Drosophila melanogaster: one gene and its partner. The gene in region 1 interacts genetically with each later gene. Each region holds a gene or a part of one and is shown on either strand. Other genes may lie near its edges.

Region 1 (3,757 bases):
ACACACACAAACACACTTGCACGCAACACACACACGTGCAGAGACACTCACACAGAGACACGTAATTTAGGGGTGCTGGCGGAAGTGAAAAGGAAACATCTAGTCCTCTTAGAACAGCCGACGTCCCCTTTTTGCGTACGCAGCATCCGCAAAAGAGTGCCGAAAACTGAGTGGTAATGCCGGGGATTTTCTACAGTAGGCACTCGCGAATTGGGAAAAACGTATGATAAACCAAGCCAGTTTAAACAGTGGCAAGCATAAAGTTAGTTAAAGCCTATGCCGAAATATTATATAATATAATATGTACATAAATAGATAATATAACACATTCAATCAAAAACCAACGTTGATGAGTTAATCCGCTGAATGCTAAATATTGTGTCAATAAGCTATTGTACGTATTGTTCACACATTCTATGCGTTCTTGCGTCTGAAAATGTCGACCTATTTATTTTTATGGTAGTAATAAGTTTTTATTGCTTTGCCAACAATTGTATATTATGTACATGTGAGTTTTACGTTTTAAAGCAGAAATTGTTTACTCACATTAAAACAAATCTAGAAGAACCTGAAATGTAACTCATTTAAAAAATTTCATAAATGGTCGCAGTAAATGCAGTTTTAAACTTAACTTCATTTGGTTCCTGCGCACCAGGTTCCACTGTACTGAAACATTGGTGCCGTGTATGGCCAAAAATCACAGTGCGGGCGGAAACTGAGTGCCGTCATCAAAATACGCACACACACACACACACGTTGGAGAACACGGGGAGAGAGCAAGATAGAAAGGGGCAGACAGATGAAATCAGAAAAAGGAGAAAAGGAGGAGGAGGCAAACGGAGTGACAGCTGCCCCATTCGCATCCGGGAAAAAGTGGCCGCTAAAATCATTTGTTAAGTGCGGTGGCCATGACAACTGGACCAAAAGTCGGAGGGTCCTGCTTCTGGTCAGATTTTTCAATTTTTACATCTCCCTCTGTGCAGAACGCACACACATATGCAAGTATTTCCATCATCATCCACACCAGCAAACAAAACAAGAACAACAGCCGTGTGCAGCCTCCTGCCCCCTTTTACACGCAGAGAAATAAAGTATAGCAAGTCGAAATTTAGTCGAAATACATTTTAATGCAATTTTATTCATCCTCTTGCTTGATAAGGCTAAATAATATGCTTTTATAAAAACAGACTGCGTTCGAGACCCTCAGCGAAACTTTTTCTAACGAGAATAACTTTTCGATATCAAAATAATTTATTCATTATTTCGTCCAGTGCATCCATTTCGCTTCCGTGTTTCGAAATTCAATTTATGTATACTTTATGGAGCCGTAGCCGGCTCCCCAAGCTCCATTTCGCCCCCCCTTTTGCCCAGTGAGGCGGAGAAAATTGTAAGTTCAGGAAAATCGATTTTCTTGTTGTATTTTTTCTGCCGTTCTTCATTATTTTTTTGGCTGGCTGCAGACATGGCTAATTGGAGTTCTTTTTGTTGGCATCAGCTCGTGAACTGAATGCTGCAGTTTGCATCTTTACTCACCTCGTTGCGCTATTTTTAATGCACCGGATTCGGATTCGGATTGCCTGTTTCGGGGATTCGATTCGGGACTCTCCTGCCCCACTTCCCCACTCTTTTGGCCAAAGAAATTGCGTCCAGAGAGCGACACTCACACTCGCACGCACAAACACACGCACGTACACACGACTGCAGCAATGTTTCTCTTCAATTGCAGAGCGCTTTTTTATTCTATTTTCACGAGCTCACTCGCGATTTTACGCACTTCTTTTCGGCGACAACTATTTCGTTTGAGATAGTAATTCCGTGGAGTAATTATGCTTCACATGCTGCCTGTTTTCCGAACACTTTTCACTTTTCTTTCTTTTCTATGCAGCTGAATGGGAGCAGAAAACAAACGCAGCCCTAACGGCACCGAGTTGTGGTTGTTGTTGGCTAGGCAGTGTGACCGCAACTGAGGGTGGAAAAGAATCCGTTGCGGAAAATATACCGAAATGTATCTTGTGGATTCATTTGCAACAGCTGCGCTGCCACAACCATCGTGGGTAGCTAGAGATGGCACAATACCAATTCGATATATGTACAACCAAACATATTCATTCCATATTTAAAAAGTTTTCGGTTACTTTCAGATCCATTCAATTAAAAGCGGTTTATCTAATTTGTCCCCATATGGTGGTTTTCCATTTGACCAATATTATGACGATTTTTTAGATTAATTGTATGATTCCATCTATATGTAATGCATTTTACATGCTAACGTAAAATAGCATGCAGCTAAGTTCGAAATTTCGAACCCAATGGTCTGGCAACGCCAAAGCGGCTTACCGGCTGTTCAGGCGGTATTATTCGGACTTCATGCGGTCATACTAACTGGAAATTACTTAACATGCTGCAAGGAATGCTCCAAAGGCGAGTAAATAATGAATATACCATTTATTTTGAGTGGTATAATAACATACATTGGCATTGCAGGACCTGCCTGGCGGTTGTCAGCACCGCACAAACTCTAATCGTGCGGGATAAGCACGCTTTCAACCGGGCGGTGCTGAAACCGAAAGTACGCTGCCATTTTCCGAAACCCATGGAGGTGAAGAGAATTAATGTCCACGGCTGGAATGCTAGGATGTCGACGCCTGAGGGACGACGAGTGCTGATGAACCGGATCCTCAAAGGACGTCACAATTTGTCACACTAGCCTTGTGTTAATAAACCTAACTTTATTTACAATGTTATCCGATTGCGATTGCTACAGTAAGCTCAGTTTTAGTTTCGTTGATTCGCTGGTACTCCCAGAAAGGCTGGCGCTCGATGGTAGATCTGCTGAATACTCTTCGAAGATTTCGAATCGTCAAGGATGAACACGAAGGGCACACTGCTGGACACACCTTGGCCCTGATCCCGAAGGAAGCCCTGCGGCAGGGACTGTTCCCCGCCGAGGATAAGACAATCCACCAGGGACATCTTTTGTAGCGGCATTGCTGGCACCAGGTATAACTCCTTGCGCTCGTAGTCGATGGCGCGAACCACACCTAAAAGAATTTTGGAATTCAATTAATAAGCCACAAAAGAACGTGAATGTGTACAAACCTATTCCCAAACATTGGGGCAGACCTGCTCCGTGATGGCACAGATATACTACATTAGCCTCCATGCCTCGAATCAGTTCTTCGCGCGAGTAATTCTTGCTGGTGGGATGCAGGATTTTCAGGGATTCCAAAGACACTCCCAACGGCTGGCAGTCTGTAAGAGATTTGGCATTTCCAGTCAGGCAGGAACTGAGACGTGCCAGAAGATTGGAGTACCGCATGTCCTTGGCGCTGAGACTCCAAGTTCCTTTTTCCCTTGCAGGCACTGCACTTATCAGCTTATGGAGTGTGTATTTTGGTATTTCATTGATCTTGAACTCCTCCGCAGAGTATATAATTGGTTTTATCTGCGACAGACTGTTCCGGTCGAGGACAGAATCAAAGTTATTGATTGGAATGGGACTGGCAATCTGTACAAGATCCGTGGGACGAATGCGATCCACCAGCAGAGCCATCAATTCGATACCAAATCCCTTATTATAGCCCATCGTATTTATCAGCCAAGGAATATTTGAATACTTGGCATCGTTCTGAATGTTTTGGACTAGCTGAATAACTGCTCGGGCATACTGCTCTGCGCACAAGACAATGTTGGTGTGGCCCACGACAATGGCATGTTCCGGCTGCCTGTTGTACAGGAAGCCCGGTCCCAGAAGGGG
Region 2 (3,757 bases), on another chromosome or scaffold:
GGCCTTGTTGAACTGATTGCCCTTCTGCTTGAACTGATTCACTATACCCGTGGAACCTTTGGCAGGTGACTTATCCGCTTCGCGGTCTCTCTCTCGCTCCCTCTCCTGTTCTTGCTTCTTCTGAAAGTAGTTGCTTCGCTGCTGCTGCGGCGGTGGCACATTGCTTAGCACCACATCAATGCCGTCTCTCTCGCTGTACACCGTCGGCATGGGCTCGTTATCCCAATCGCGTGTCCACAGCTCGTTGCGATTGGCCGCCGCTATAATCTTGCCTTTCAGACATATGTCGATCTGATCCTTATCCAGATCAGTGTTGCACTTTGAATAGCAACGAGCAACATATTGGTTGAGGGAATTCGGCCAGGAGTCGCTTGAAGCCATTTGAAAACTGTTTGGCCGCTTAAAATTTGATGTTTGGGATGTAGCCTCTCCCGCTCTTTGTGCTGCCATGTGCTCCTGCTGCTGCTGCTTCTGGTGTTGGGGATTCTCTGTGGGTGCCACAATGGCCAGGGGTAATGGAGGTGGTGGTTTGCTCAAGTCCGGATTAATTGGTACACCTACATCGCTGGCGCTAATGATGGGCGGCGGTGGAGCTTGGGGTGTGGCTGGGGTTTGATTGGCAAACGGATTGCTGTATGTTGATTGCTCAAAGTTCTTGTTTTTGTTATTCCGCTTGCGCTTCTTTTTGTTGCTGTTGTTGTTATTGTACAATTGCATGACCTGTTGCTGTTGTTGATGTTGTTGTTGTTGATGCTGCTGCTGTTGTTGTTGCTGCAGGGGATTAGGAGCACCGGCCAAACGCTTTTGGTTTAAATTCAAATTAAAACGTATTCCCCCGAAATTTTTTTGCTGCTGCTGCTGCTGTTGTTGTTGTTGCTGCTGTTGTTGTTGTAATTGTTGTTGCTGTTGTTGTTGTTGTTGTTGTTTGTTTTGGCCAGGTGGCTGACCTATTTGCGGCGGAGGCGGAGGGGGCGGCCCTGAGGGCAGAGGCGGCGGTGCAGCCAACGCATTGCTGAAGCCCGGCGGCGCATTTGACGTACTGACCGTCGAGGTTACCTGCTGTTGCTGCTGCTGCTGGTAGCGTACGTAGTACTGGTAGTACTGCTGATACTGCTGCTGGTAAGCAGCATTTTGGTTGGCATACCAGGCGTAATTGCTCCACTGCTGGGCGAGCTGGGCGGGATTAGCGCTCTGCTGCTGCTGTTGCTGCATCTCCTGCAGCTGCGGAATAAGGGGCGGCGGAGCACTCATGGCATCTGACATGGTACTCCCACAATCTGCCTCTCTTGGTTCTTTGCTAATTTCTTTTTTACCTGAACTTACCTTTGGGTTTTTGCGATTTCGGCCCCTGATTTCATGACAAAGGGTACCAAAAATGGGAAAAATGTGCGCATTAGTCTGTGTGTATGGGTGTGTGTGTGAATGTTGGCATGTGACGCCATTTTTATTTCTTACCTACTTCTTGGTCACCGAGAACTGGCACTTTTTGCTTCGATTTGCTCGTTTGAAACGCCGTTTTCTCCAAAATAACTTATTAAAAAGGTGGCGCAGTGCAAAAATATATCTGCATACGCACGAAAACACTCGGAATACGCTATTTTTTGCCTTATTTTCTCACGATATATAAACACGTCCGAACAGTTGAACTATTTTTTCGTATAAAGAAAAGGAGACAGAATAATCGATGACTAGATATGTCGCAGTGCTAGTGTGGCCGTAGCTTGCTGAGCCGAAAATCCATTCCTATAATTTAAAAGATGCGCGCCATAATAGCGGAGGAATTGTGGAATATGGAACATGTGAACGTTTTCTATTTATTTATTTCTTCGTTTTTTGGACGTGGATTTAAAAAAATAAAAAATCTAAGTATCTATGTACGATTTAAGGATTTACGATGTAATTAAAAATGGAATTGTCGTTAATTTCAAATCGATTTTTAATATTAAGACTGTTGTAGAACAATAAAACATTAAAATATAAGGTACAATACGCTGCAGTATTCAGATTCCATTAATTAAAAATAAGTTTTACTTAGTTTACTTACGGAAACCACCAAAATCATGATCAGATAAGTTAGAAAAACACTTTGTATACAAATTATTTATTTATATTAATCATGTATAGTAAAATCATAGTACATAGTAAACCATTCTTTTCAACAGTGAAAACCCCAGGAAACGCCAATCCTATGGGCTCCACCAATGGGATCTACTCCATCGAAGGCCAAGTGATAGCCAACATCGATGTTCTCCCCAATCTTTGATTGGTAGACGAACCCCATTCTGGAGTCCTCCCGCAGCTTGGCCTTCACCATGGTGCCATTCTGGAAGTCGTACTGAACCCCAATGGCAAACTGTTTCACATTTTCCGAACTGTAGAGATTCGTCTTGATGGCAAAGGCCCAGGCTTCGCCGATCCTTTGGAAGATCGAGCCTCGAAGATCCTCGAAATTCTCGCTACAAGTAAAATATAATGGGATGTTGGCTATATTAAATAAGCTATTGGACAACCTACAGTTTTAGACCCACTTCGGTCCTCCCATTATTGTAGCCCAGGCACAGGGCGTGCTTATCGAATCCCTTTTCGTCAAAGTTGTACTCCGTTCGATATCCCAGCACCCAATTCTCTACAGGCGCCACCAGGACATAGCCCAGAAATAGGGGTTCGTTGTACAGAGGCACCACCAGTTCCACCTTCACGGGATCGCGCTCCAACCCGCACTTCAGCTTCGTTTGAAAGCTCACTCTTCAGGGTTTAATTTGCATAGTTTTTAATGCTGTTAAGAAAATTCTGAAAAAATGGAGGACACTCACTCGTCTTTTGTGCCAATTGTTGACTTGAGCAGTCCATACAATCGACTGCCAAAGTTCATGCCGCGCACAGCGATCTCCGAGAGAAGATCATTGTTGGTGAACCAGCCGAGGGACGTGCTGTAGTTGCCCACTTCCTTGAACACCTCCATGCCGCCAAATACGTTCTTCATGGTGGGATAGCCCTCGCCGAAGGTGTTCAGATAGAAGTCATTATCGGTTCGCGTGCTGCAGTGCATCTGCCATGCGCCGATCTTGAAGCCATTGATGAGGCAATCCTTCGCCAAGGCGCCCACATGGAAGTAGGTGGGCATTTCGCCCTCTGACGTTGGCGAGGGTATTATCTCCACTTCGACTTCCTTGGGTGGCTTTTCGGGCTCTTCCTGCTTAGGTGGCTCCTGCTTGGAGGCATCCTGCTTAGTTTTCTTCTGTTTGCTTGGCTCCTGCTTAGGTGGCTCCGGCTGCTCCTTATTCGCATCACTGGCCACTGTAGTGGGCCGTGCGCGCATTTTGTTCCGGCGAAACAAGTTGCGCAGCCGTTGCTTCATATTTGTCATTTTGAAAATACTTTAAAAAAATAGCAAAAATAAATAGGTATAAATTTAAAATTTTGATTAAACGATCTGACACCGGAAACATAAACTTCTGATTTGTTTTTCAGTTTCTCCCCATCATGACATAGAAATGAATACAAACGTATGTTTGCTAGCCATCCTACATATTGAAGTACCATGATGAGCCGAACTTGTGCTTCCCATTGATGGGATCACTTCCTTCGAAGCCAACGTGGAACAGAACTTCGATGTCTTCGCGAAGTTTTTTCTGAAAGATAAGCCCGATGCGGGAATCTCCACGCACTTTGGCCTTCAGCATGCTTCCAGGTTCCCACTCGTACTGACCTCCAATGGAGACACTCTTGGCACTCACGTTTCCATACAGGTTGGCCT

What was found. A genetic interaction does not mean that the proteins touch.
Region 2: of Dg (region 1) and CG6700, changing one enhances a phenotype caused by changing the other (phenotypic enhancement), as found in Drosophila melanogaster (one study listed by BioGRID).

What each region holds. Positions count from the first base shown.
Region 1 is NT_033778.4:16,096,595-16,100,351, forward strand, and holds the start of Dg (dystroglycan), read right to left. Parts: upstream 1,971-3,757; 5' UTR 1,534-1,970; intron 1-1,533. Other genes in the region: mRpL34 (mitochondrial ribosomal protein L34), read left to right, coding at 2,399-2,421, 2,485-2,707; CG8414 (uncharacterized protein), read right to left, coding at 2,776-3,041, 3,100-3,757.
Region 2 is NT_033779.5:10,840,926-10,844,682, forward strand, and holds the start of CG6700 (uncharacterized protein), read right to left. Parts: upstream 1,673-3,757; 5' UTR 1,456-1,672; intron 1,349-1,455; 5' UTR 1,264-1,348; coding exon 1-1,263. Other genes in the region: CG17140 (uncharacterized protein), read right to left, coding at 2,156-2,456, 2,515-2,745, 2,814-3,367; CG17139 (uncharacterized protein), read right to left, coding at 3,525-3,757.